Linked DNA regions of Caenorhabditis elegans. The protein of the gene in region 1 interacts with the protein of each later gene in a pairwise test. Each region holds a gene or a part of one and is shown in the gene's direction. Other genes may lie near its edges. The genes, in order: Y47G6A.14, gipc-2, C16C8.4 and ZK512.4.

The links.
Region 2: the proteins of Y47G6A.14 (region 1) and gipc-2 interact in a two-hybrid assay, tested with the Caenorhabditis elegans proteins (one large-scale study listed by BioGRID).
Region 3: the proteins of Y47G6A.14 (region 1) and C16C8.4 interact in a two-hybrid assay, tested with the Caenorhabditis elegans proteins (one large-scale study listed by BioGRID).
Region 4: the proteins of Y47G6A.14 (region 1) and ZK512.4 interact in a two-hybrid assay, tested with the Caenorhabditis elegans proteins (one large-scale study listed by BioGRID).

The regions. Positions count from the first base shown.
Region 1 is NC_003279.8:3,462,154-3,472,926, reverse strand, and holds Y47G6A.14 (RING-type domain-containing protein), read left to right. Parts: upstream 1-4,739; 5' UTR 4,740-4,805; intron 4,806-5,346; coding exon of another isoform or gene 5,347-5,419; intron 5,420-5,461; coding exon of another isoform or gene 5,462-5,624; intron 5,625-5,673; coding exon of another isoform or gene 5,674-5,793; exon of another isoform or gene 5,794-5,795; intron 5,796-6,624; 5' UTR 6,625-6,638; coding exon 6,639-6,690; intron 6,691-6,741; coding exon 6,742-6,869; intron 6,870-6,917; coding exon 6,918-6,963; intron 6,964-7,006; coding exon 7,007-7,103; intron 7,104-7,148; coding exon 7,149-7,218; intron 7,219-7,275; coding exon 7,276-7,374; intron 7,375-7,428; coding exon 7,429-7,554; intron 7,555-8,068; coding exon 8,069-8,221; intron 8,222-8,623; coding exon 8,624-8,745; intron 8,746-9,086; coding exon 9,087-9,261; intron 9,262-9,891; coding exon 9,892-10,017; intron 10,018-10,063; coding exon 10,064-10,156; intron 10,157-10,432; coding exon 10,433-10,552; 3' UTR 10,553-10,657; downstream 10,658-10,773. Other genes in the region: AFG3-like protein spg-7, read right to left, coding at 375-483, 1,200-2,345, 3,261-3,385, 3,443-3,641, 5,347-5,419, 5,462-5,624, 5,674-5,793.
Region 2 is NC_003282.8:10,023,912-10,030,552, reverse strand, and holds gipc-2 (PDZ domain-containing protein), read left to right. Parts: upstream 1-2,886; 5' UTR 2,887-2,938; coding exon 2,939-2,973; intron 2,974-3,027; coding exon 3,028-3,325; intron 3,326-3,369; coding exon 3,370-4,110; 3' UTR 4,111-4,140; downstream 4,141-6,641. Other genes in the region: msd-2 (MSP domain-containing protein), read right to left, coding at 1,141-1,470; F44D12.8 (PHD-type domain-containing protein), read right to left, coding at 5,327-5,431, 5,502-5,707, 5,752-5,864, 5,911-6,221, 6,265-6,389, 6,432-6,531, 6,576-6,641.
Region 3 is NC_003280.10:3,440,817-3,447,112, reverse strand, and holds C16C8.4 (Ubiquitin-like domain-containing protein), read left to right. Parts: upstream 1-2,732; 5' UTR 2,733-2,747; coding exon 2,748-2,828; intron 2,829-2,876; coding exon 2,877-3,390; intron 3,391-3,444; coding exon 3,445-3,530; 3' UTR 3,531-3,625; downstream 3,626-6,296. Other genes in the region: C16C8.20 (Ubiquitin-like domain-containing protein), read right to left, coding at 76-156; C16C8.16 (Ubiquitin-like domain-containing protein), read right to left, coding at 446-525, 572-1,214, 1,263-1,343; C16C8.5 (Ubiquitin-like domain-containing protein), read left to right, coding at 1,749-1,802, 1,853-2,192, 2,237-2,385; C16C8.22 (PLAT domain-containing protein), read left to right, coding at 3,875-4,058, 4,294-4,445, 4,495-4,623; C16C8.27 (DUF281 domain-containing protein), read right to left, coding at 4,668-4,710, 4,758-4,885, 4,929-5,016, 5,061-5,401; C16C8.17 (DUF281 domain-containing protein), read right to left, coding at 5,742-5,867, 5,913-6,073, 6,127-6,286.
Region 4 is NC_003281.10:9,143,482-9,149,584, forward strand, and holds ZK512.4 (Signal recognition particle 9 kDa protein), read left to right. Parts: upstream 1-1,858; 5' UTR 1,859-1,868; coding exon 1,869-1,945; intron 1,946-2,261; coding exon 2,262-2,415; 3' UTR 2,416-2,478; downstream 2,479-6,103. Other genes in the region: ZK512.2 (putative ATP-dependent RNA helicase DDX55 homolog), read right to left, coding at 235-518, 1,198-1,305; ZK512.11 (uncharacterized protein), read left to right, coding at 738-872, 926-1,123; ZK512.8 (uncharacterized protein), read left to right, coding at 2,602-2,697, 3,073-3,410, 3,783-3,864; RING finger protein nhl-1, read right to left, coding at 4,125-4,316, 4,363-4,497, 4,544-4,669, 4,961-6,103. UniProt on the Caenorhabditis elegans protein: Component of the signal recognition particle (SRP) complex, a ribonucleoprotein complex that mediates the cotranslational targeting of secretory and membrane proteins to the endoplasmic reticulum (ER).

The DNA.
Region 1 (10,773 bases):
TCTCCATTTTTCACACACTATTTCTCCTTGGCTCTCCTCCCGCCGAAACAAAAACATAATCGACTTCATATGTCAGATAAAGCTGCTCTCTCAGAGCTCTTCAGTCAAACATTCCCCCATCCATTCAATCATGAAATTTCAACTGATTCTTCTTCTTCTTCTTCTCCAAATTCTGATTATTTTCACGGCTCTCAGCGGCTCGGCTCCAGTCAAATGCACATGCAACGTGGATCCGGACACTGGCATTGCGTCGACGATTTGTGAAGGATTGACAGAGGCTCTCGACAAGAAATCGCCGGTTTTAGATTAAATTCGAATACTTTTTGCAACTTTTGCTCCGTCTCAATAAAGCTGTAAAATAAAATAAACCAAACCTGTGAATATGCCATTTGTGTAACTTTCTGTAGATCATCTTGTGCTCCAGTTGTGATTCGTCCGAAGAAGATCTCCTCGGCGACGCGACCTCCGAGTGTCATGCACATTCTGAAAAATTTTTAAAAATTTTGAAAAATATCGAAAAATTAAAGGTTTTCTTTTGCCAACAAAATTTGGCTCTTTTTTTGGTAAAAAATCGCAAAATCGAAAAAAAAACAATATTTTTTGAAATATGCATAATTGAAAAAAATCAGAAATATTGATTTTGAATTGAAAAATTTCAGCTAAAAATTTATCAGTACAGTGAAATCTTTTGGGAAAACATCCTAAATGAAGGGAAAGATTAAAAATTTTCGAAAAAATTCAATTCTCTGAATAAAATATTAAGATTTTTATTATTTGGGGAGAAAAAGTTAAATTAGCTTTTTTCCTATTTGTTTGAGCTTTTTTTTTAAATTTCGAACTAATGTCGACTTATTCCTGGTTCAAAATTATGATTAAAAAAAATTAAATTAAAAAATTTTAGAGTGCATATCCGCCGCCAAAGCTTCATAAAAGTGAAATTTTGGGGACCTTTTTGCTTAAAAATCACGTTTTCGTGATTCAAAAAATTCCAGAAATCACGATTTTGCACAATTTGTAACTACGATCAAGCAATAAGTGTAATATTGTCGGGAAAATCTCATAAAAGCACTTTTTGATACTATAAATATCCAGAAATCACGATTTTAAAGTGTTTCCAATCGCGATTTTGACAGTTTTTAACAGTTTTTTCTTGGAAATTTTTTTGAAAAATAAAAACTTAAAAACTGCATCATCATTACCGATCAAGCAACTGATCCTTTGAATACAAGTATTGCTCCTTCGGCAAATACTGTGCATATCCGAGACCCTTTCCTCGTGGAATAATAGAAACCTTCAACAGAGGATCCGCATGCTGTAGGAACCATCCAGCAATAGCATGCCCAGCTTCATGATAGGCTACAGTCTTCTTCTCCTCTTTCTGCAAAACCTGCGTCTTCTTCTCCATTCCAGCGACGACTCGTTCGATGGCTTGTTCGAAATGTTTATTTGAAATCTCGTGATTCGCATCTCTCGCCGCAATCAGCGCAGCCTCATTGCACACATTCGAAATGTCGGCTCCAGAGAATCCTGGTGTATGGGCGGCGAGTTTTCGTGAAAGCACAGTCTTGTCGAGGGAAGTCCGAAGTGGTCCAAGATGAACTCTAAAGATTGAAGCACGACCTTTGATATCTGGAACTGGAACATAGATCTGTCTATCAAAGCGACCAGGTCGGAGGAGTGCCGAATCGAGAATATCCACACGATTCGTGGCGGCAATCACAATGACCGACGATTCATCAGTTGTGAATCCATCCATCTCAACGAGAAGCTGATTCAGAGTATTCTCTTGTTCAGAGTGTCCACCCATTCCACCTTTTCCACCACGTTTTCTTCCAACTGCGTCAATTTCATCAATAAATAGAATGCACGGAGAGTTCTTTCTAGCCATTGAGAACATGTCACGGACTCTTGCAGGTCCTACTCCGACGAACATTTCCAGGAATTCGGATCCCGATACAGTGATGAATGGAACATTTGCCTCGCCGGCGGTTGCCTTCGCGAGAAGTGTCTTTCCGGTTCCAGGAGGTCCTGTTAGAATGGCTCCTTTCGGAATTTTCGCGCCAAGATCCTTGTACTGCTGGGGGTTCTTCAGGAAATTCACAAACTCCATAATTTCGATTTTTGCCTCTTCACAACCGGCAACATCGGCGAACTTCACCTTGATATCTTCTCGATTAATGACTCTAGCCGTGCTTTGTCCGAATCCACCAAACATTCCACCGAGTCCACCTCCACCAGCTCTTCCGGCTCCGCCAGCTGCTCCACCGCCTTTCAGCATTCGATAGATGTAATAGCCGAAGAGAAGAGGGAATGCGACGCTGATGAGGTTTGGGATTTCGCGTTTGCTGAAAAAAAAAGGTTTTTAATTGAAGTTTGGGGGAGTTTTAATGTAAAAATGCCTGAAAAATTGGATTTTTTCAAATTTTTAGTGCAGAAAATCAGAAAAATCAGAATTTTAAAAGAATTTTAGTGCGAGAAATCAGCTAAATTGCGTTTTTTTTTGAATTTTTGTGCAAAAATTCAACAAAATTGATATTTGTTGGAATTTTAGTGCAAAAAAATCAGAAAAATCGGATTTTTTTTTGGAATTTTTAGGCAAAACACAGCCTAACTGCGATTTTTTAAATTTTTTCTGCAAAAATTCAGCAAAATTGATATTTGTTGAAATTTTAGTGCAAAAAAATCAGAAAAATCGGATTTTTTTGGAATTTTAGTGCAAAAAATTGGCTAAATTGAGTTTTTTTTGGAATTTTAGTGCAACAAATCAGCAAAATTTTTTTTTTTGAATTTTTTGGCAAAAAATCAGAAACATCGGATTTTTTAAAAGACTTTTAGTGCAAAAATTCAGCAAAATTGAGATTTTCTCGAATTTTTAGGCAAAAAACAGCCTAACTGCGTTTTTTTAAAAATTTTTCTGCAAAAAACCAGCAAAATTAATTTTTGTTTTTGAAATTTTCAGGCAAAAAATCAGAAAAATCGGATTTTTTTTTTGAAATTTTAGTGCAAAAAACGAGCAAAAAGCAACTTTTTCCATAATTTTTGTGCAAAATTTTCATTTTCAGTGACTTTCTGAAGGTTTTCACTTTAAAAACAAAATTTTAACTACAAAAAATGTGAAAAATTAAAAGTTTTTCTGAATTTTCATGCAAAAATTATAACTTTTCCCATTTCCCAGAGCTTTTTCTTTAAGAAAATCGGGGGTTTTTTCTTTTTTTCTCTAATTTTTCTTGAAATGGAGTGATTTTTGCAGAAATCCTTACAAATTGAATTCAGATTTATATAAAACCGGAATTTGTCGATCAGCATCATACTGGAGATGATGCTGAGCAGCTCCGAGGCTCCGTTCGAAGCTATCCACACTTCCGATGTTGAAATAGCACGTTTGCTGAAAGAAAAAAATTCATTTTTTCACGAATTTCAGTGCAAAAACTAAAAAACTAACTCCTGCATACTTTCCAGACGAGCTAACAATTCGAACCCATCGCTTATCAACTACTTCAAGTCTCTCGACAAGTCCAGCTTCCAGGAAATCACTGTAAAACTCCTTCCAGGAAATTTCACGATACGACTGATAATCCATAAAGGCGTAGAGAGCGAGCAGAATTCCAACTGAAACGGCAATTTGTTGCCATCCTCCTGGGCTGAAAATTGGAGGAATTAGATTGATTTTAAGGGGTTTTAGAGGTTTTCTCCGTTTTTTTAAAGGTGGACTACGCTCAGTGGGTAAATTGCTTTAAAACGCGCCTATGGGGTCACATTGACCGAATATCATGATATTAAAATTCAAAAAAATTTTCCAGATTTTATATGATTTTTTGAAAATTGGAAAAATCACAGTTTTCACCTAATTATTTTTGAATTTCCGCCAATTGAATTTGTTCGGTGGAGCGCACTTGCATTATTTTTATTTATTAATTTTATTTATTCTCGTTATTTGACTGATTTTCTTCATTTTCTATGTTTTTTCCTCGGAAAATGGAAGAAATAAAAAAGACAAATGCAACATTTTTGTTAAAAAGTAATTGAAAATGAGTAAAACTGTGATATTCTGAGTTCCGACGGCAACAAGCCTGAAATTAGTATATTTCACAGTTTTACTCATTTTCAATTACTTTTTAACAAGAATTTTGCATTTGTCTTGTTTATTTCTTCCATTTTCCGAGGAGAAAACATAGAAAATGAAGAAAATCAGTCAAAGAACAAGAATTTAAAAAAATTAATTGATAAAAATACTGCAAGCACGCTCCACCGAACAAATCCAATTGGCGGAAATTCAAAAATAATTAGGTGAAAACTGTGATTTTTCCTATTTTCAAAAAATCATATAAAATCTAGAAAATTGTTTTGATTTTTTTCACATCGATATTTGGAATGAGAAGAAAATTTGGAGACATTTGAAAATATTTTCCAGATTTCGGTACCCCACTTTTAAATCTTAGAAAAGGTAAATGTGCTCAAAAGAGGCACCACGTTTTCAAGATCTAGCCGGAAACGAGATCTACGAAAAGGAGGTCTACATTTTCAGGATCTGGCACCATGCCAACTGCGGTTTTCGCAGTCTACTCGAAGAAAAAGCAACGATGCTCCGATATTACGCATCGCACGTTGTTTAGTCAGAAAAACCTTTTTTGAATAAAAACTTCTGAAAAACGCTAAACAACTCGCGATGCGTAATATCGGAGCATCGTTATTTCGATTTTCTTCGAGAAAACTGCGAAAACTGCACTTGGCACGGTGCCAGATCCTGAAAACGTAGATCTTCTTCTCGTAGATCTTGAAAACGTGGTGCCCCGCTCAAAAACATCGTGGGCGGAGCAAAAAACCGTGCCAGAATTGCAAAAATGGGCGTTTTTTTGTTTTTTTTTTCTCGGAATTTTTTTTCAACGATTTGGAAAATTCGTGATTTCATTAAATTTTGAATTTTATTGAAATGATTCCGAAATCCCGAATTTTCGATTTTTGAAAATCTGGAAAAATGGAGAAAATGCTAAAAACGCCAATTTTTGCAACTCTGGCACGGTTTTTGCTCTGCCAATAAAACTTTTTAAAAAAACTGCTAATTTTAGCTAAAATCACCAATTTATTTTAAAAATATTGGATTTTACAAGTTTTTTCCGGATCTTTGGGACAATTTTTGCCAAAAAGTTCAAAATACGGCCCGGGAAACCTGTAAAAGTCAATTTTTTGAAATACTCCAAAGAAATTCGACTAGAAATGATTTCCGGGGCTTCTCCGAGACTTCAATAAACAAAATAACGTGGTGAAAAGCATCTAAATGATGATAATTTGGGCGAAATTTCAGATTTTAGCCAAAATTAGCCGATTTTTGTGTCTATTCCTCCTCACAATTGATTAAACGGATTATTATCCTCTCCCTTATTTCCTTTGCTGTCCTTTTTGTCAGAAGATGATGAAGATTCTGGAAAAAACTTCGAATTAATGATAATTTCCCTCTGAAAACCTTTATTATCCGTCGATGCTTCCTTCCTGAAGAACTTTTTCAAATCATTTGGTTTCGAGGCGAAATATCGAATTGTCTGCTGTACTTGATTGAAGAATCGCTCTTCAAATCGCTGATCTTTTGCGAGAAGATGCAGAACTTCTTGTTGTTTTAGCACGGATTTCTGCAAAAAAATTCAGAATTTTCAGTATACTGGCAGGCGGTAATATTACATCATCTTTGGCTACTGCTGAAAATGAGCTGACTGAAAATTGGCGGGAATTGACAGATTTGAAGCATGATTCGACCGAATTTCTCAGCTGCTTCGGCGTTTTTCGGTATAATCGCCACATTTCTGCAATAGAATTTAATTATCATAATCATGCACTGCGCAAACAGTGAGAGATGACGAAATCTTCGATTTTAAGATTGAGGAACGAGGGAAAAAATTAAAAACAACCAAATTTCAGCCGTTTTCTACTTTTTCGAATATTTTTTCTCGAGAAAAATGTTTAAAATTATGCAAAATACAAGGAAAAACCATAAAGCTTCAAAAATACTGAGCACTTTTTAGAAAATAGCAAGCGCGCTCCATCGCACAAGACAATGCGCGCGTCGTTTGAAATTAGTTTCCAGTGCACAGAGCCATGACGCAAAAGTGAACGATTAGTTTGCGAAAGTACTTTGAGAAATTTTGGAAAGAAATTGGCAAAAAAAACGTTGTGAAATTAAAAATCAATGTGAATTTCCATGGAAAACAGGCATTTTTTGGGCAAATGTTTTTTTTTTGAGAAACTGACGGTATTGGTAGATTTTCAGTGTGGATAATCTATGGATTTTATTATATACTGAATTAAAATTCATTAAATAGTGTAAAAACATAATAAAATTGTGAAAATCAAACCGGAATCACGGGAAATTTGATTCAAAACATTGAAATTCGATGACGAAATAAACAAAGGTCTTACTGTAGTTTTTAAAGGCGCAAGCACATTATCCTCCTTGAGACTTGAAGCGAAAACGCTTGAAACTCAAATATTTGCAAAAACATTAATTTTTCCGGATATAAATTGTATAAATTGTTTTTCCTTAATTTTAAACGAAAATTTCAATTATTCGACGATTAAAAATAACGAAAATTTAAAAATATTGATTTTTCTAATTTAAAAAACTTTATTTTTCAGAATTTTCGAGAAAAATGGATGTTAATGAAGAACTCCCGACTTGCCCTGTGTGCCAGGAAGAATTTGGTGAAAAATATCCCAATTTTTATTGTAAAACAAGCACATTTTTATTTTCAGATGATCAAAAGGCTCCATTCATCATATCTTGTGGCCATTCTCTATGCGAAACTTGCATTGTGCACTTGAAAAGCGATTATTCTGACGCATATGGATCTGGTGGCCAGACACAATGCCCGACATGCCGCGTATGGCTTAAATATATTGATATCTGTTTAAAAATAAAATAATTTCAGGCCGTGGTTAGCAAGGAGAAGCGAACAAAAAACTTTGCATTGACAAGTTTTAAAAATATTCATATTTCCCGAAAAAAACTATTTTTCAGATGCTGTGACCATGATCCAAAAGCTTCGTGAGAAGCCAAAGAAGCCTGCAAATGCAGTGGACTGCACTCAATGCACCAAATACGACAACGAATCGGAGTAGGCCTCTTTTAATTAGAAATAACAAAAAAATTCAATTTCCAGCATGTTCGTCTGCCGCAATTGCGTCACTGATGCCTTCAAATACGACGTCGTGGAGAATTTGGGTGCCGAGGTCCGGAAAATATCCAATTTCAAAAAAAAAAAAAAAATTGAAAAATGATTTTTTAAGGTGGATTTGGATATCAAATCGTTGGCGCTTTGTGGAAGTTGTGCACTGCGATCTCATGTCACACAGGGCCACGAGACTGTGGCTTATTTCCCGGTTGCGGTATATTTAAAAAATTTATTTGTAAAGAAAAGACTTAAAATTGTAAATTTTCAGTCCGGAATGAACTTCGCAAGCCAGCTTACAAGTATTTCTCTTCTGAGAATTGAGCTCGAATCGTCGTTTGGGCTCACCAATGCGTGGTATGCTCGGTTTGCATCGACATATAAGACATTCCACACGGTGATTTTGATTTGATATTTGAAATCGATGTGCGCGGTCAAAATTTCGATTTTTCGGATATTTTCAGAGATAATCTAGGAGAAAAAATGGAAGAATACTATGAATTTATCAAAAAAAAAAGTGGATTTCGATTTAAAAAACTAATTTTTCTTCGGAAATTAGTGAAAATTCAATTTTTTTTCCTCGGAACACGAAAAATCGTTTAAAAAAATCGAAAAATTTTGATTTTTGAAAATATTTGGTGACAAAATCTTTGAAGAAGTTTTCTGTTGCTTTTCGTGATTTTTACGGAAAAATGACGTTAAAAATGCATTTAAAAACAATTTTTTCATCAATTTCGACATAAAACAATTGAAATTCGAATTTTTTGAATTTTCCAGTTTTGCCGCCATGTATACCTAACGAGACCGATAATTTGGAGGCGGAGCACATTTCCACGTTGATTTTTAAATTTTAAGGCGCATTTTTCTGCGTCTCCATATTATTTTTTCAATCAATAATCAAATAATTCCAGGAGCTCGACAAGATGACGGATATGATGAGAAAAAGCAAGTCTAGTGATGTCCAAGAGGAGTTTTCCAAGAGAATTGATCAGGAAATCAAAAGAATGTCAGATTATGTACAGTCTGTGTGCTTGGAAATTGCCAATAAGGACAAGGAATATCAAGTAAAAAATCGTCATTTTTGCGTCAAAAATACGGTTTTGGGTCTCGAAACGAAAGATTTTTGCTGGATTCGAAATGGTGTGCGCCTTTAAATAGTACTGTAATTTTTGTGAATTTTGAACAAATTGACAGAAAAAGTATGGGAAAAACATCGATTTTTCTTCGTTTTTCTGTCGAAAAAAATTCCTGTAATTTCACTTTTTGGAATTTTTTTTCGACAGAAAAACGATGAAAAATCGATGTTTTTCCCATACTTTTTTTGTCAATTTATTCAAAATTTACAAAAATTACAGTACTCTTTAAAGGCGCACACCTTCTCGCCTTCAACAAAAATCTTTCGTGTTGAGACCTGATACCGTAGTTTCGCGCAAAATTTCGCGACTGAGTAATAAATTAAATTTCAGAAATCATTCACTGCTCTCGTGGCCATCAACAAAAAGGACGAGGAGACGAAATGCCAAGAGCCCGTCGAGAAAATTTTTGAGCTCACGTGCAGCGAGTGTATGACCAAGCAGACCGTCGAAAGGTTCTTTAACTCATTTTTTGGATATTTTGGAGCCGATTTTCACAGAAAATTGAAATATTTGGAGCGTCTGCTGAGCATTTTTCGTTATTTTCAATTTAATTGACTGTTTTTTTTTAATTTCTAAAAAATATTCACAATAAAACTCAAAAAACTGAAATTTTCAGCCTGAAATTGTATGTATATTTTTTATTTGCAGCAAAAAAAGATTTTCTATTTTTTCAGACATTTTTTCCGCAAAAAATCGAGTTTTTGGCCAATTTCCGAGAAAATTTGCGCGGGAGTTCAAAAATAATTAACTTTTCTGCAAAATCAAAAAAAAAATCAATATTTTTTCCATACAGATTCCGCTGCTGCAAAACATGCATTGAAGTCGTCGGAAAACTCGTTGACAATCTTCTCGAAACAACTGAAATCGACGCAGTTGACCTTGAAACTCTGCCGATTTGCACGAATTGTATCGTCGATCATCATCATTCTGACGGCGAGCACAAGACTGTCAGATATTCTCAAGTTCAGGTAAAAACTTAATTTTACACCTAAAAAGACCAAAAATTTCTCAAAAAACGCGTATTTTCAGAACTTGCAGAAGTAAATTTTTATTTAATTATCACAATTTCTTACATTTTCGGTCGCAATGCACAAAAATCGACCAAAATGTGTAGTAAAATGTGATAAATAAATGAAAACTGACTTCTGCAAGTTCTGACTTTGTAAAGCTTTCAAAATTTGAGGTTTTAGCAAGAAAAAATGTATTTTCCCAATTTTTAAAACCGACATAATTTATAAAGAAAAAGAAAAATTCGGTAATTTTGGGTAATTTTGTGAACCAGCCTTTATTACGAGAACACAAAATTCTGATAATACAGCATATTTGACGCGCAAAATATCTCGAAGCGAAAACTACAGTAATTCTTTAAATTACTACTGTAGCGTTTGTATCGATTTACGGAAATCATTTATTAAAGCACACTTCGAACAGAAAATTGATTCGAAAATCGAGCCCGTAAATCAACACTACAGTAGTCTTTTAAAGAATTACTGTAGTTTTTGCTTCGAGATATTTTGCGCGTCAAATATGTTGTACAATACGCATTCTCAGAATTAAATGTTCCCATAATAAGAGAAATAATTAATCTTTTTTTTCAGGAAGCCTACACCTCGCTCAAGGTTTTCTCGAAAGTTGAAAAGCATAAAGATGAGATTAATATCAAATTTTCGGCTCTTCTTGACACCTTCAAACATTATATCACACAGTTGGAAGGATATGATGACGTGGGTTTCAATTAAATAATTATCTGAAATATTTAAAAATGTTCAGAAAATCACCAAGATGTCGAAAATCGCAATGGAAAGTCGTGGACATCCGGAACAAGCGGAGGTTGTCAAGGGATTTCAGAACGAGTTGGAGAAGGTTCGGAAACAAGCCTGCCGGGGTTTTCGATTTTTTGAAAAACCGAAAAGTGAAAAATTTTGCGGTCAAATTTGCTCAAAAAAGTGCAATTTCTGTTTTTTTGTATGAAATACGCGTAAACCGTAATAAAAAATATTGCATTCTTGATGAGAAATTCCGATTTTGAAGTTTTTTCAGATTTTTTTTCGGTTTTGCTCAACAAAAAAAAAAAACCGAAAAATCGAAAATTTGTTCGGAAAAGTAAAGAAAGATTATAAGAAAATTTACCATTTTCAGGCGGACCACGCAATTTCTTCTCTCCAATCGAATGCTGATATGAGCCAGACTGTCGTCAGAATGCAGCAGAAACGCCTCGACGCAGTGGAGAATGAGTTTGGAACTACTAGCGACGCATAATTATCCGACTGAGAAATGCTCAAGTTTTAAAGCTATGAATTTTATATTTAAATGAGTTTTCGAATTTTTCGGTCTGTATAACAACTTGAATAAATTAAAAAGTTGAGAACATTTCAATCATGGATTTTCCTGGCAATGGCAACTGCAGAGACGAGCGATAGCGGGATATTCGCCAGCACCCTTGATCGGAAACAAAATATTTTACAGACTTTTATGACCGG
Region 2 (6,641 bases), on another chromosome or scaffold:
CACTATACACCATCTCATTTCCACGTTACTTTGCTCATTCTTTTGCTCATTTTTGGGCAATACCACCAACTACCAACAGCCAACGACAAATTTCTCTTCAATTTTTGAGTTAATTTCATTCCGTTCACTGTGAGTTTCAAACCACTAAAAATTTCTGAAACTTTTTTGAAAGTTGAAGTAGAGTTTGTAGTTTTTCCGCTTAAATGTACTGTATATTAGGGCTACGCAAATCTCAGCTTGTGTGACCACCAAAAATGTGACACCCACCACATTGAGTTAAAAAATGCCCTCGGTGGCAGAGTTGGGACACAGGTAAACCGCGTCATGAATTTTCGTCGAGTGACGGGCCGCTATCTCGCAAAAACGGTACATGGCTTTTGTGAAGACCCGGACCGCTATTCGATGAAAAACTGACGAAAAACGGACCGGTAAGTGATGAGGACGCACGAATGCCCAGCTAGTTGTTCACCCGTTATTCGCCATTGGTTTGAAATTAGTGGTTCTTTAATAACAGTTGATAGTTCATATAAATTTATTTGTATAAAAATATAATGGATTAAAAAAACAGCAAATTATTCCGATGGTGACGGGCTGGTCGATGTATGTTCGCGTCTTCGCTGCTTATCTCGAAACTTCTGACCCGATTGAACTTTTTATCAGGTGTTTTAGACGAGAGAAGATTTTGGATAAGGCTAAGGATCACAGCTTGTATCACACAGCATAGCGTAGACCGAATAAGGAGGCAGACGAGAATGATGACATCTGGAAGACTCGAGGTCGTCACACATGAGCTGGGGTGAGAATCCTGAAATTAATTGGATTAATTACTTCCATCATTTTATCTGGTATTATACCTTGTGATTGGCTGATCGGCAGTGATTGGCATCAACCGCTTTGAAACCTAGAAAGTGATATGATCCCGGGTTTCCAATTCCTGGTTAAAATATTTAGTGGGCACTTTCTTAGCCACAATTATGATAAATTCTTTGGTTTCTTATTGAAACTAAGCAGTTCTAGTAAGAAACCAATGTGAAATAATAAAAACCAAAAACTTCAATTCAAATATTTCATTCAAAACATTCAAATCTCTTTTTTCCAAAATGCTCATCTTTGTCTCATCATACTCGTCGATTTAAACGTCTAAGCCGTTGCCGACATTGGAATTGTAATGGTTCCAGCTGGAGTGATGGCAGCAAACGCAGCTTGGGCATCAGTTGCATCAGCCGGAGCAGCGGCAAAGTGAACAACAAGCTTGTCTTCTTTTGGTGCTCCAGCAGTACGAGTGATTGTGATGTCCTTTGAACCAGATGGATCAACGAATCCGAATACCGGAGTGATGCGGTATTCGTTGTTGTTTGAAGACTTGATCTTGAAGATCATCTTCTCAGCTCCAGCATTAACAAGTTTGTGGGTGGAAGCACCTCCAGCAGCTGGAACAGTGCACGCTGGTGGATCGGCCGTCAGAGACATCTTTTTGAAACTTTATGTTAAAGTTGTATAAACTGAACATATTACCCTTATTTATAGCAGTCGTTATCAAGATGAACCAGTGACCTTTCGTGAACTTTTGATTTTAAATATTTTTGTAAATTTAAAAAGGTTTGTTAATATCAACTGTCTGCTCCCTTTTGAAAATATAGTTTTTTAAAAGTTATTTACGCTCTCGAGAAGACGTGGAAGAGGTTAAGGAAAAAATAAAAATATAGAAAAAAAAATATTTTTGTAAATTTAAAAAAGTTTTTTTTTCCGATGTATGTAAGGATAAAAATAAATAAGTCATTAAATATATTTTTCTATAACATGAAAAATTCACCGCTAACTGGCGTCAACTAACAATGACGTGTTTAGTTGGAATGTCAATTTCAAAGGTTCGGAATTACTTGAGTTGTGGACTAATAGACACTAAAGAATAACTTTGAGATACGCGATTTTTGCCAAAAACAGAATGTCCACCTTCGGCACGACTAATTTTGAATTTTCGAATAACTTATTTTCATATATTTCGCCTAACAAAACATTTTTGTATGTAACAGAAATGTGTCGTGTGGAGACCAGATGTATTTATGGAGCAAAACTTTGCACATGATTGTAAATAATAAATCAGTGATTTAAAAAATCAATTTTAAATCAAAATGCGGAGAAATGGGCGGTAGGCAGCCAGGTAGGCACGTGGGCCTCAAGAACATTTTGTTTTTTCTTCTCAACATATTTTTTTGTCAGATAATTTAAAATTTATTTATTACAGTTACGATTGTTTATTGTACATGCATGAAACTCCTAACAATGCTTCTAATGTTTTGCGAGTTTTGAACGATGGCTTCTCACTTATTGGAACGTATGTTTTCAGTTCATTACTCAAATGAAGTAAAGGATCATATAGCTAACTAGAAGTTCTAAATTTTACATCCTTCACTTTGTTCGGCTCCTCCGATGAGTACATCACCCTCTTTGAGCTTATGAACAGCAGGAGTCTAATATTTTCGCCACAGACTTCTGAGATTTACGATTATACACGTCCCCGGGTCCCGACACGAGTGAAACGTTTCATCAAGCCTATACTTTGCCAAAAAAAAAATTTTTTTTAATAAGAAGTATCAAAATCACGGTAAGTATCAAGAAAATCATGCAAAGTCAAAGATCAAAGAACCCTGGATTTTGAGGCAAAAATCTATACATTTTTTCCGAATTACAATTTTACTTGTTACACGTGTTTGAGTTTAAAAACAGGTAAAAAAAGAAAGCATATACATGAATAAATAGAAACGAAAAAATATTCTAAAGTTATATTTTTTAATGAACTTGCTCAGCGTGGAACCCCACTTTGGTTGGCATCCAAGCTCCGCCCACATCAATGTCTATAAATAATCAATTTTCTGGTAAATCCTTCATTCATCGATTTACTCGACTTACAACAACTAATTACAACTAACTCTTCGCAATGCAAGGACAAGGAGCCCCATGCCGCCGTTCTAGGTATGCATTTCATGAGCCCGAGTCTCAGATCTCAGGTTACCATGAATATTTCAGAAGCCGATCAAGATCTCGTGGAGCCTTCAATCGTCGCTCCAACTATGGAGAAGCTCATCCAATTCAGCCTGCCGTTTTAGCTTCAATTGTCGAAGAACCATCATCTTCAATCATGCCAGTGGTGAACCCATTGATGGTTGCAGCAAAAGAGCTCAAATTTCCCTGCCAGTTGGCTCATGGATCTCCAGTTGCAATCATTGACAAATGGAACGATATGGAGGAATTGTACCAATCAATTGCTGATTTCTTTGCAATCTCAAAAGACGATATCATTTTCCTGACGGTTAATGATTTCAAGGCAAGCTTTGATACTTTAATTCCTCTAATTCGAAATATTTTCAGCCAGACATGAAGAACATGTTCAGTGGAACACTCAACTTCAAGGATATGCTCTTTGCACACGTTCGCGGACAAGCAACTGAGCTCCGAATGGTCAAAGACGCCAACGTCTTTGGAGTGACAGTCACTGACAACGGACTCGGAAATGCATTTATCAAGGTCATAAGCCCAGGTTCGGTGTTCGATCGTATGCGTCCAGCAACACAAGTTGGTCAACTCATTGAGGCGATTAATGGAGAGTCTGTGCTCGGTAAAAGACATTACCAAGTTGCTCGTATGTTGAAAAGTATTCGTCGCGGCGAGGAATGTATCATTCGATTGATTGCTCCAAAGAGTGCGGATCCAGGAACTATGAAGATGACTAGGAAAACTGGCGGAGATTTAGCAAAAGGAACCATTCGTTTCAAATCGGAAGGTGGATTTGCTGTTGAAGATATTCAAGATCAGATGATCCAGGCTGAGATGTGCGGGAAACTCAACGAACTGTTCGACCAATATTTGGGAGTTCAAGATGATCAATTGGCCATGAGAATATGGGAAACTGCCTCAAACTGCGAGACACTTTGGCAACTCAGTGAAGCCATCAAACAGTCGGAGCTCTCAATGTTCGAGTTCCCGGATGGATTGGTATTCGACATGTGGGGAATTATTGGTGATTTGAAACGCGAACAACGTGAGAAAAAGCCAATGCCAGTCATGAAGAATGCTATTTCAAGACCATCGGCTATGAAACTCTTTGACTAACTTGTATTGTCAAATAAATTATTTTTCTTGTCCTAGCTGAATTTAATTGTTTCTAAATCAATTTACTATATATAAAGCGCGTGTCGTTCCGTCACTATGTAGTTTGATCTCTGATCATTTTGGGAAACCTTATGCTAAATACGCAGCAGACATCGATCGAGGTCCGCGATAGACACCGTACATCTAATGTGCTTTCTCAAAAAAGTCGAGGGCCGCGCCGTAGGTGCTAGATTTCAACTTGCAATTGTATTCTCTCCAACAAGAATCGGCATTCTAGAGGTTTCCAATGATTTTATTTTGATGAAACGCTACAGTACTCCTTTTATACAATTGACCAGCCGCTGACCGCGCCTCCGGCGCGGCCAACGACTGGCGAAATTTGAAATGTTTGACACATCCCTGAATTCATTAGGTTTTTCTATAAAAAAAAGTAAGCAGAATTTGTTTCCCTGCTGCATGTGTTTAAGTTTTTTCGAATATGCTGAAAGATTAAATTTTGAAAACCATCACACCACAACCTTAAACAAAGTACAGTAACCCTACAGTACTACTACAGTACTACTACAGTACCTTGACATTATCCATCACCAACTCCCAACGCAATATCCCTTCAAAAGCTGAAAAATCAAAATTCCCTAAACTACAGTAACCCTATAGTAACCCTACAGTAACCCTACAGTACCCCTACAGTACTACTACAGTACCTTGACATTATTCATCACCAACTCCCAACCCAATATCCCTTCAAAAGCTGAAAAATCAAAATTTGCCAAACTACAGTAACCCTACAGTAACCCTACAGTACCCCTACAGTACTACTACAGTACCTTGACATTATCCATCACCAACTCCCAACGCAATATCCATTCATAAGCTGAAAAATCAAAATTTCCTAAACTACAGTAACCCTACAGTACACCGACAGTACTACTACAGTACCTTGACATTATCCATCACCAACTCCCAACGCAATATCCCTTCAAAAGCTGAAAAATCAAAATTTCCTAAACTACAGTAACCCTACAGTAACCCTACAGTAACCCTTCAGTACACCTACAGTACTACTACAGTCCCTTGACATTATCCATCACCAACTCCCAACCCAATATCCCTTCAACTACAGAAAAGAGAGTTCAAAGATCAGAGATCAAAGTTCAAACTACATAGGGACAGAACGACACTGCGCTTTATATATAGTGAATGAAAATGATTAAAGCTAAAGTTCCTTTGTGCTGTCCTTCGGCTGAGTTGATTGCTCCATTACTCCCTTGCTGCTCATTTTCTTCCGGAACTTTCGAATTGATTGAATAGGATGATTACGCTGTAAAGACAAAGTATAAACACTTTGTGATTGAAGCTTTTAGATAAAGTTATTTAGAAAATGAACTCACGTCATAACTCAAGCAGACAACGTTCTTCATATGGAAGGAAATCGCTTTTCCAGGTGTTGTTGAAATCGTATCAGTTGACAGTGCTTTAACAGGAGGGAGTGGCATTGTTGTCTCAATCGTAGTCTCAACTGTTGTATCCTGGGTTACTGTAGGCCGTGCTCTGTCATCAATCCCATCACGTTTCATTGAAAAACGTTTGATTGCGTCTGAAAACACATGATAAGAAATCGCATTCTAAAAAGTTTCAAACCTTCACTCAATTCCACCAAATTCTTAACAGTGTTGTACGCAACAGTCTCCTGACTCACGAAATCACTATTTGCCTCCAACTTATCACGTGGAGCAAGAGAGTCAAACGTATGGCTGAAGTATTGAAAAATTAAACGCCTAACATTAAAACTAGACTAACTTTTCTGGCAGTGTAACACCTCGTGGCATTGCACACGACATGTAGTCTCCGATATGATCGAACCAGCTCTTCTCATCGATTTCAATGTTATCTTCTGCAAGAGCAGCAACCAATTCTGGATTAGTGATTGGAACTCCTTCATCATTCTTTTCACAATCGCCAGGGGCTCGTTCTGGAACAACCCAAACTGGTTCCCCATTCGGCTTGAAGAGATCCGAGTCCAAGGATGTTTTCGGCGCATTTGTTTTCTTCTTCCTCATTGCTCTTGCCGATGCATTGAGTTGGCTCGACTCCGGCATTCTTTCAAGCCGCTAAATAATCATAACATTTATTTTTCTGAAAAGTACCATAAACCGCATCGTCGGATCGTTTCTGAGCTCTCTGCGACTGCACATGTTTGAAGAAGTTTTTGGCCAAATCCTTATTGAACTTTTGCCCACTCTTTTCATCTTCTTTTGATCCAGATGATGGAATCTCTGCTGAAATCATAAACTTGTTTTTTTAGACAATTGTCGTCAAACCTGAAGATCTTCTTCGTCTAGAATCTGAAGATGTATGTGAATTCTTTTTCTTGGGCTTGTCATTCTTTGAACCTGCCCTTTCATCGTTATCACTTGAAGTCTGGAATATTTTATTATTGATTAACCAATAAGCTTAGTTCAAACCTTGGCATTAGTGTTCTCAGCCGACAGAGACTGGTTGACTTGATTCTTCTTTTTACGGACTGTTGT
Region 3 (6,296 bases), on another chromosome or scaffold:
ACAATGATAACTTTTGTATTCTGTATTCCTTCACGTCTCCCAGCGAGCGTAATAAATTATTATTATTATTCTCACCTCTGTGAATTCATTGTATATCTTGGAAGTTTCAACGCGAAGTTTTTGGAATTGAGACATCAAACTGCTTGTCTCCGACATTTTTAAATCTGAAAAAAAAAAGCTTTTTGATAATTTTTGAAATGCAAAGAAGTTCCTAGTTAACTTTTCTAATTTCCCAGGTAAATTCGAGAAAAAACTCTCTAAAAACTGAACAAGAACCGAAAACCAAGAAAGTTGCTTTTATTTTTGAGTAAATCAAATATCCAAATGATTGCAGAATCATTTTTAAAAAAAATCTGTGAAAAGCGAACAATTTTAGTTAACAATTATTTATTCGCAAAATAACAATATCTTGAAAAAAGTGAATGAAAATTAGAATAATTATGATTCAACGAGAGTATAGCCAAATTAATGCGCCTTCTTGAATGTTGTAGTAGGCGAGAGAGTGGTGGTCTTCGAGAAGTTTTCCTGAAATTCGAATTTTATTTTTAAATCTACTTTGAAACCAACCAACCACGAAGCACCATTCTGAACGAGCTGATGTCTACTTTTGCAAGTGAATTGATGCGAAGTTTGATGTGTCGAATTGTATCCGATCCGCACACGCGAAGTTTCCAGTGGTTTTCAGACGCGAATATGCCACACGATTCGGTCCAGATAACCAAAATCTCAAAAAATGGGTCAATTTTTGTCAATTCTACAGTTCCAAGTGGGACGTCTTGCACAGCTGATCCTTCCATAATCTTCATCATAATCTGATCTTGACTTTTCTGAAATTTCAATATCGATTCTAAAATCAGTTTCAAGTTTTTATCCGAATTGTCGATCAATTTTTCCTGAGACTCTTGTTGCTTTTTCGTCTCATTCAGCTCTGCTTTGACAGTCTTCAATTCCGAATTCAAATTTTCGATCGATTTGTTTTGATTTTCCTGGACTTGCTGAAATTCGTCTTGTTTTTTAAAAATCTTCTGGATTATTTCGAGAATCTCAAGAAGATCCTTAATTGATGTCGCCTGTTTCAGTTCTTTTTTCACAGATTTCAACTCCGACATCACGTTCTGCTGAATTTGCTTCATCTCATCGTTGAATTCGAATTGTTTTTCCAAAAGCTTCTCGCTTATGTCCAGAGTCTCTTTGAACAGCGTATAGCTGGGTTTCTGGAAGAAAATTGATGTTCTTATAATGTGTAAGCTCGAAAACTAAACCTCTTTAAACTCATTCTGTATCTTGGAAGCTTCAACGCGAAGTTTTTGAAATTTAGACACCAAATTGCTCGGCTCCGACATTTTGGAATCTGAAAAAAAACATTTTTTGAGATATTGGTGTTTTAGCGGTTACAACAGCATGCTTGCGAATAAAACCACATTTTCTGGCGTAATTAGATATTTTCTAGAACAATTCGGAAAATAAACTCCAAAAATCTCAAGAAAACTGAACAAAATTGAAAAACTGAAAGGAAAAATGTTCACGAACGAAATTTTCGAAGAAACTACGGTAGACGAGGAAGTACGCAGAGTGTTTACGGACTTTGCATTGCAAATGACGCGCATTGCTCATATTAAAAATTTTTTTTTTTTTTTTTTAATTTCAAATCTCTTCTCATTACAGTCTAATGCTTACAAACTGATTTTCAATGCCAGAAAAACGCGAAATGCTTTGAAATATAATATTTTCAGAATTGTTCGCGAAAAATGGACAACTCGAATAATGTGATGTCGAAATTGCAGAAACTTCGACTTGAATCGGTTGGGAAAAAAAGTATATTAAAACATTAAATAAAAATATTTTTTTCCAGAAATTTCCGAACGGCTCCACACTCGTCGAAAATCAATTGCTCTTGGATGTCAAATCGCTTTGCGCAGAACTACTCGAAGAACAGAAGTCGCTAAAGAAGAGACTTCAAAAAGTTGAAGAAAATCAAAAAATTGAGAACGCAAAGATCAAGGAGGAGCTGGAAAATCTGAAGAATGGCGGAAACCGAGTTGCGGACAATTCACTTTTTGAAATTTTCGTGTTCGATGATTACAAGTACCACGCTGTCGAAGTACGAAATTCTTATTTGATTCGTTATGTAAGAGTGAAGGTGGCGAATCTGCTCAACAACGATTTGGTTGAAAGTTTTAATCTGTATTATGGTTTGTTAAAACCAATTTTCATCACAATTTTTAAAACTTTTCAGGTGGTCAGAAGCTTCAGGACAATCGCTCGATTGGATCTTACAATATTGATCAGTCTCGAGAAATTTATCTAAAAAAAAAAAAAAAATTATCTACCCTGCTCTTGAACGTTACTATGATTATTAATTTGTTACCTGCCAATTTGATATAATTTGTTAATCTTATTTTTGTAATAAATTTTTTTTTTGAATATAAACTGGATATGGATTTTTCTATTTTGAATATGAGCATCGTATGGAGAATCAGTTATAAGACAGTTCGAATATTTTTCAGAAAACTTTGAAAACATTTTTCGGGTGATTTTTACAGTTAACTACTGTAGATGATGAAGTACGCAAGGTGTTTGCGGACTTTGCATTACTAATAACGAGCATTGTTTTTCATGATAATTCGTTGAAAAAGAAAAACAACGCGTTGTTTTCTTTCCATTTCTCTGGGTTTTTCAGTATTTAAATTTTAATTTTCAAGTTTTAAAAACTAAATGAATCTTATTTTTAGACTTGCCCACGAAAAATGAGTAACTCGAAGGATTTGATGTCGGAATTCGAGAAACTTCGACAGGAAACTTCCAAAATTCAATATTCCCTCATCCAGGTTAGTTATTATTGATTATTACTTTTAAAATTAATTTATATTTTCCAGAAACTTCCATCCGAGCCGTCCAGCTTCGTGGAAAATCAGCTGCTCCTGGAAACTCAAACACTTTGTGGACAACTTCTGAAAAATCAAGAAGAACAAAATATTCTCAATGAGAAGCTGAGAAATGAGCAGAAAATTATCAAATTGAAGCATAACACAGAGATGAAATCGATGCGAGACAAATTGGAGACACTTACAACTGCCCAGGCGGCGCAAAAATTGGATTTTGAGCGACATTTCGAAATGATGAGACAATCCCATTCGGCGAAAATTGTGAAAATGGAAAGAGATTTGAGAAATATGAAATACGATTTGCATTCGTTGAGAAGTGATATGGATAGTCGGAAAAACTGCGAAAATCGTGCTGCTCCGAAACCAGAATTTCAAATTTTTGTGAAGGTTCTGGGAGTGAGCTACGCTTTCAAAATTCACCGAGAAGATACAGTTTTCGATATAAAAAATGATATTGAACATCGTCATGACATTCCCCAACATTCATATTGGCTTAGTTTCAGTGGTTGGTTAAAATAGATTTTTAGTTAAAAATTGATTTTAAAAAAAAAATTTTCAGGAAAAAGATTGGAGGATCATTGTTCAATCGGCGACTACAATATTCAAAAATCTTCTACAATTACAATGTACTTCCGTTCTGGATGATCATCTCATCGATTTATTTTTTAATTGTGATTTTTACCCGAAAAATGCCCCAATAACATGTTGTTTAATAGTGTGAAATAAAGTTTTACTGTTTCCGTCGAATATTTTTTCTCCGATTTCAATTGAAAATGTGTTTAGGAATTCCAAAAATCCGGAAAAATACAAAAAAACATAAAAATTACAAAAAAAACTTTTACTGGATTACGGTACTTGCGTGCTTAATAATACGTTATCTCTGGCGTTCTTTTTTATTTTTAAATCAAGCTTTTCTTATTATTCTCTGGTAAAATAAAAAATTTTTTTCAACTCAAAAACGTGAATAAATTCATTTCCTAAAAATCACAATGCTTTGTTTCATCGTACTTCTCGTTCTCGGAATCAGATGCTCCGCCAATTTTCATGTTCCGAGCTTCATTATTCCGCACCCAAGTCCCGTTTTGATCGTAGAGAAGCAGATCACCTCTCTTGAAACAGCAGTGAGCTCCGGTGATAAGAAAACCCTTCTCAAAATATTTGATGTCACAAAAGGTTCGTTAGAAGTAGAAAAGTCTCACTAGAATTGGTAAAGAAGGTGAAGAAATGCTTTATTGTGAATCTTTCGGGCAATTTTTCATGGTTTTTCTGCCGGTTTGATGAATAAATTGATGAAAACAAGCCTTAGCATAAGAATAAGCCTAAGCCTAATCCTATGCATAATCTTAAGCCTAAACTTAAGCCTGAGTCTAATCCTAAGCCTAAGCTGAAGCTTAAGATAAAATTCCAGGTGATGATCCGTACGCTGACAAACTTATCGAATCTAGCAAGACAATCAAAATTACGGTAACAAGTGCTCGATACGTGTCCTACAACCGAATTGAGGCGGAATTGCAAATCTCTGGATCGAAATCTAGAAATGGAAAGTGGTATTTGAATAAGGTGAGTTGGTAATCTGCAATATCTAGCCCTAAAATGTTCATGATTCCAGAGTTTTCTCAGTCCGACTAGCTGGAAAATCGACGGGATTCAACGGAAAAAGTCTCAAAATTCTACGTGGCAATGGTGTTATATTGGCCTGTTCAAATGTTTTATAGATGTCGTTTCTGAAATAAACTGACTCTCGGTTTATTAAATTTCAAAATGCAAAGTGTATTTTAGTCCTCATTCGCAATCGTACGAGCAGACCAGCTTGACCACGTTCACACTGAAAATTGAAGTTAATTGGGCTCCAGGCTCACAAGCCTAACTTACACTGTGTCCGCTAGAGCTGGATTTTCTTGATCTAGCCATGTACCATCATCTTGGCACGACAAAGAACTTTCAGCTCCGTTAGCATTCCAGCTTCCCACTGGGACTGTTGCTCCAGCTGAGGTTTCTGCCTGAAAGTACAGGCTTCAGAACTCTTACAGTTGGTTAACTCACGTGAATTTGAAAATTTGAGCACATGGTTCCGGGGTTGGCCTCGCAAGTGGCTTGTCGCTTAGAACAACCATCATTCAGATCACTTTCACTGAAAAAATAAGCACGACTTGAGGTTCATAATTAGGAACTTACATGTAAAAGCTGATCCTTGGATCTTCTGGATCCTCCAAGCTAATCATAGGACAGGATTGACAGGGATCTTCTGGTTGATCAGTTTCTTCTAGCTCCTGGGAAACTTCATGCTCTTCTAGGGCTTCAGGAACATCTGGAACTTCTGGTTCTTCTAGAACTCGAACCTCTTCTAGCTCTCTTGAAACTCCTGCGCGGTCAGATTCTTCAGACTCTTCTGGATTCTCCCCAGGATCCCCAGGGAGTATTTCAGCAATATCGGAATTTTCCAGAGGGTTTTTATTTATGAAGGCCTCGATTTTGGAAATGGCACCAAATAGTATGAAAAGTGTCAACCAATTCATTTTTTTTGAACAAAAATACAAGAAGAAAATGGTATAAATTCCTACTTGTTGGCTTTTCCGGAAAGATTTTTCTATTGTAGCTACAAAAATTTACATAACAATAGCGAAAAAAAACTTTGTCTACTCCTTTGTGTCACAATCTTTTATTCATTTTAACTGCTATTAACACGTGGTGTCAGAGCGTCCCATATTTGATTGATCTACGTAGATTTTCGAAAAATGCGGGAGGAGAGACTGTCTGCTGACGTCACATTTTTTGGACGAAAAATTCCCGTATTGTAGATCAAAAAGTTATGGGTCAGCCTGACAACACGTGTGTCCCAAAAATAATTTAAAAAAATCAGAGCCCAGCGACAAACTCCACGAAACATTTGAAAATCCCAATATGGCACCGATCGGAGGTGACTCTTGGAGACTTGACCTGTTGGATTCCTGTGATTCTCCACCCCGTCGGGCTCGCCGAGTTCTGAAATAACGGAATTCGTTCTCAACCTGAAAACTGCCTGCTCACTGCAGGAAGGGCCCATTGAGCGGAATTATCGCCCCTGGAGCTGTCCACCCAAAAAATCAAGTCTGCATTGATGTCATTAGCAGCGGTGTGTTCGACGTTGTAGACGTTGATGTTGACCATTTTGGCAGCTTCGATCAGTTTTCCAATGTACTCATTGTCTTCTAGAATACGTACAGTAACCTGTATCACAGTAATGTACAGTATTCTGGCTTACCTCCCGTTGTCTCGAAAAGCTTCAGAAGCACCTGGGTGTCGTGCTTCGCCACTGCAGCTTGAAAAGCAGCGACTTGATTTTGCACCACAAGCCGTGGAGTCGGAATAATCGCCAATGAAATTTTCAAGAAAACTGCCAGGAGGAGGTGTAGAAGGAGCATGATAGGAAAA
Region 4 (6,103 bases), on another chromosome or scaffold:
AAATGTGCAAAAATAAATGAATTTCATGATGAGATTTGCCAAAAAATGTCATATTTTTGCAGCTCAAAAACTAAAAAAAAAAACTAATTTTTGCTATAACTTTCGATTTTTTCTTCGATTTTTCAAACCGTCATAAAAATGATGGAAATTTTTTGAGGTCTCATTAAGAAATTCGCTTTTTTTGGCGAACTTTTTGTAATTCATCTTTTACTCCGCATAAAAATACGAACATACTTTTTATTCTTGAACATCTTGATATTTTTGTCCACTTTCTGTCCTCCAGTAACTGTTTCCACAGTTAAATTGAGTTTCTCTGCGAATGGTTGAATTACGCTAACGATTTGACTGCAGAGCTCTCTTGAAGGCGATAGAATAAGTGCTCCAATGTCAGCAGGCTGAAGTTTTGCATTTTGAATCATTCTCATCATTGGTAAAACGAAAGCAAGAGTCTTTCCAGATCCAGTTGGAGATTCAACGACAACATCAGACAGGTTAAGGAGATGTGTTCCAGAGAGAACCTGAAATTGGATAATTAAATAAAGATGCATTCCTACTACTTTCTACATCAAATGGCTTTTTCCTCAGCTTTGAGGAGAGCACACTCCTCCTTTGCTCTCATGTCTGCGTCTCTCTAACTCCCGATCAATATCCTTTCTCCCACCCTTCTGACCCATTTTATGCTATGCTTTTTCTTGTATATTTCAAACATTTTTATTTTATATTCTTGATTTTAGAGAATGAACAAACCGAAACAGGACTGGGGAGCGTATTATTATCAAGGGAAGCGAAAAAATGGGAAAACTCGATTAATGTTGGACGTTGTTCATCAGATGAATCAAGCAGTTCCAACATTCAACGAGTTGTTTGATGAGGTATTGGATTTTAAGTGGAAAATGTTTAATTAAAAACATTATTTTAATTTCAGGAAACTTTCTACGTGTTTGCTTTTCTCGTGGTTCTTGTGGCAGTTATATTTGTGATAGTGATGGCAAAATGCTTTAACGTTAAAATTAAAGAATACGATATCGATATAGATAGAGAATGGAGAGATATGACACCTGCTCATCCGTTCAGATTTCCTTGGGACGATGCAAAAAAGGATGCGAAATTGAAGAAGGATTGATTACTTTGGAAATTTTGGACATTTCCTCACTTGATATAATTTCACTTCGATCAAATAAACTATTATAAACTTACTTGTACATCTGTGAACGATTTGTAACTTTTATCGAATACTTCGAGCAGTTCCGGGCCGAGCTTCTCGCGGAACGTTTTCAAGGCTACTGGACCCACTTTTGATGTCATTTTGACGGCTGAAAAAAGATAAAGGTTGGGAAAGATATTTTAAACGGAGAAAACGTTTAATAAGAAGATAAATTCATTAGAAGTAATTAATTAAAGCAAACAAGGAAAATATTTAGTATTCCGTCAATTCCTATGAAAATTAGTTAATTTTCAAATACGAAAGCTGTTGAAAAAATTAGATTGAAATCTCACTTAATTATAAGACTAAAACCCATTCAAAACTATTAAGGAATAAGAAAGATTATCTAAAAATTCTTAAAATTCAGCAAAAAAAATTAATTCGAAAAGTACGCAAACACCGGCATTGCATCTCTGCGTCCAGTGCAGTGAATCTTACGACACTTGAAATGTGGCCGGCAACAAATTATGTTTTAAGCATTTTATTTAATATTAAAATTTAATAATACTATTTTACTAGTGAATTTATGAATTAATTGACTTGAATATTTTAATAATATTATTTGTTAGTAATCTCCAAAATCGTCTTTCCTTCTTTTCTGCGCTCATTACTTATTCAAATACTTCCATACTTATAAATCAAGTTTTTTTTCAGATTCGAAACAATGACATACTTCACAAGCTGGGACGAATTTGCAAAAGCTGCTGAAAGGCTTCATAGTGCCAATCCGGAGAAATGCAGGTTAGTTCGTAATATTTTAAAAAAACCGTCACTTTCGGGATTGAAAAATGTTATAGATTACTTAAATGTGCGATATTTACATAAAATAGAAAAGCGAAAGAAAATCAATTTTATCAATAATTTTTATTCGTGAGAAACATAAATTACTAAAGGATTATTTCCTGGAAAATCTTTTTGTCGATATTTCTGCAACCAACTTTTTTGTAGTTTCTTTGTTATTTATGGCATATTCAGCTGAATTTAAATAAAAATCCCCTAAAACATTCCTCATGGAGATTTCCAAAAGTTTTAGTGACAACTAAACTTTGATTTTCAGATTCGTCACCAAGTACAACCACACAAAGGGACAGCTCGTGCTGAAGCTCACCGATGACGTGGTCTGCCTTCAATACAGTACGAATCAATTGCAGGATGTAAAAAAGTTGGAGAAGTTGTCATCGACCCTGCTTCGCGGTATTGTCACTCAATAAACACGCTTTGTTTTATGTTTATGGTTTAATTAAGTATTTAAATAAAAAAAGTTTATATTTATTGAATGAAATTGTTTTTCAAATACGTGAACTTGAACTTCAACACTACAGATAGAAAAATAAACCAAAGCTTTAAAAATCAATAAATTCAGTTTGAATTTATTCCTCTAGCTTGACAAAGAAATAATGTCTCACCGGAACGATAGCTCTCGTAAGCATCGTAAATCGCGTTCAATCAAGAATGATCAACACTATCCGACAGTGTCTTTTGATGGAGCAGAGGTAATTTTATTTATTTTATTGGTGTGCGCTGTAATCCGATTTTTGGAATACGGTGCCCGGTCTCGACGCGGCAAATTGTTGTTAAATGCAAAGTGTTGTGCGCCTTTAACGAGTACTGTAATTTTGTCTAGTTGCTGCAGAATGTTTAGTGATTTTCCAACACACTATTAATTTGTTGAAAAACTAAAAATATAAGTGGTAACAATAATCGATGAAGTTTGGAGTTACAGTACTCTTTAAAGGCGCACACCCTCCCGCATCTGACAACAATTTGTCGCTCCGAGACCAGGAGCTGTAGGCAAAAAATTGCCAAGTTTCGCACCTGTATCATACAATACGTGGTTGAAAAACTTAATGAAGAAGAAAATATTTCAGTCTGTCGATATTCCTGCGGACGAAGGAAAAAGTCCAGTGAGCACGCACTTGTCGTTGGCATCAAATCCAACTGAATTCAAGTTCATGGATGAAATTGCACTTTTGAAGCGTGGCCGCATCGACAAAGACGCTCCAAAGCATCCGTACAATCGTCGTGGCCAGCAACCAATGATGAAGAAGGAGATTTCGGTGACTTCGGCTCATTCCAACAGCTCCTTGCCTGTCAGAAGTCCAGCTATCATGACGTTGATGGGCGGAGTTCCAGAGGCAGAAAAAGAGTACAATGTTGGAAAGGGTGGACTTCTCAAAATTTCTAAGATGAAGGAAGGTGGAAAGAGGTGATTAATGTAGCTCATGGATTATCGTAAATTTGTGAAAACTGGAATCATCACTTTAAAGGCAAATGCTATTTTTTGGATGGGTCTCACTGTGAACTCAATGTCATGGCCGTTATAAGAGCTAAAATTTACAAATTTGTTCGTCAATTCTGCACGGTATCATTAACCTTCTCATAGGATCCAAGCGCGTTTTCACTGATACGTGCCTACCACCTGCCGGCCTAGCAGGCATGCGTGTAGGCCTACTACATGTATTTAGGTGTATAGTAATTTTAGGCAGCACAGTAGGTACGTAGAAAGCTAAGTAGAAACCAATATAAGAAAATTAGATTAATACAAACATTCATTTAATAAATGCTATTGTAATTTCAGATACGAAGTTTCCGCCAACGAGCGCTTCACCGTCTTCCAACAAACAGCTGGCCAAACTTGCCTCTTCACTTTCAAAGCTTAGAATCCACAATCGAATGCAATCGGAAATCCAATGAATGTTTCCTTTTTCTCAATAAATATTTTATTGAAACTCGAAAACAGAAGTGTTTTAAAACCGAAAGTCGTAATGGGTAATAATAATTAATAATACTTGTAAAAGTGCTTTGTACCTAAAGATGAAAACACTAAAAAGTTGGGTGGCATCGGTATCGATAACAGAAAATTACAAAGGAGACATTTTAATTGAAAATGAAACAAGAATAAGGCCCGAAAAAACATAATTTAGAAGATCTGAATGCGATGATTCTCGCGATCGGTGACAACAATTGAACCGTCAGCAGTGACACAAACATCTTCGACACCTTTCAGTTGTCCAGCTCCTCCACCCCAAGTTCCGAAAGAGGAGACAAATTGACCTTGGGCGTCGAAAACTTGGATCCTGTTGTTACCGGAGTCGGCGATTATTAGGTTTTCCTGAAAATGAATGGTTTAGAATTTTTCTTTAGCATTCCAGCCTTACCTGTGAATCAATAGCAATTCCACGTGGGAATTTGAATTGTCCACCATGAAAACCTTCCTCGCCGAATGAAAACAAATGAACACCGTGGGGATCGAATACGCTGATTCGATGATTCGAAGAATCTGATACATACACCTGAAACGATTCAGAATGATTCATGAATCTATCTGGAATCACTCACGTGATGAGTAACTCTGCTAACTGCTATGAACAATGGACTGTTTAGTTGACCAGGTAGATGTCCGAAAGATCCGAATTTTGCAATGAATTGACCATTTTTGTCGAAGACTTGGACGCGGTGATTATCCTATAATTTAAGCTTCACTTGTATTTTAGCATGTGGGGCAATGTTTTTTAAAATTTAATCTAGATCTGCAAAGCGGACCACAATAATGTCCGGCGTCCGAATTTCCAAAAAAAAAAAAATTAAAAAATGATACTCAAAATACCGGACGTCCGGTTTGCCTGCAATATATGAATCTACAAAAACAAAGTTCTTCTCTTGATGATAATTAATAAACAAAGTTAATTTTTATCAAAATGTATACAATTATGAACTTTCGCATTACTGAGAAACGTCTCATGATAGTTGACCTACCTTATCAGCCACATAGATACTTCCCAAATCATCGACAGCAACTCCCCATGGATTATTGAACTTAGCATTTCCCTGTCCATGTCCACCGAATGAGAACAAATGATCTCCTTCCAATCCAAAAACGGAAATTCGATGATTGTACCTGTCGGATACAATAACTCGGAGCTTTGAGCTTGCTAGCCCGGCAGCTGAATCAAGTTGTCCGGCACCGGCACCGTAGCCTCCGAACTGACGAACAAATTTTCCATCTTTATCGAAAACACAGACACGATGATTAGACGAATCACAAGTTGCGACAAGACCTCCGGACAATGCACAAATTCCACGTGGCCAGTTTAACTCGCCATCCTTCGCACCTTTTCGTCCGAATACTGCACGTGGTCTACCACGAGCCCTCCATTCACCAGCTTCACGAGAAGCGCTGCGGCCACGCTGTCGCAAAACGGCAAGCTTCTCTTTCTCTTCGTCGGTTGTCGTAGAAGAGTCTAAACGAGATTGACGTTCGGCGAGAAGCTGCTGCACTCGAGCACTTGTGAACTGTGCCTGTATGTCGGGATTTGTGCGCGAGCGTTGGAAGCGTTGCCTCCGACGCTGTAACCACGCTGGCACGACGATGTCACTTTCGTCTTCCTCACCTGTGAAATGTGTGACTGGAATCGCGACTTGTTCAGATGTCCCATTGGTGATCGGAGCGGATGCCGGAAGTTGATGTTGAGGTGGCGGAACATTTATGATCGTACCAGTTCCTGGGATCATACTCATCAGTCCATCATCACGGTTTACAGATGCCGCGCGACAAACTATTCGTATTCTACCGCGGTTGGTGGATACGGGAAAATCCTCTCCCTCTGATTCTTCACTTGAAACTGCTCTTGATGCAGCTCTAGATGCATCTTGACGTTGTTGATGAGCTCTACGGATGGTTTCCACTTTCTCATTCAAAGAATCATCGTTACTGGACTGTTGACGTGGCAGAGGTGGCTTTCGGATCGGAAGTTGTGGAAGTGGAGCAGGTGATGCATCTTCAGTCCTCTCAACCCGTTCAACAGATTGTGGTGGAAGAGGAGGTTTACTAGCTGGAGATACAGTTCTTGGTGTTTCAGTATTCGGAACAATCAGACTTGTTGGCCGTGACTTGGTTGG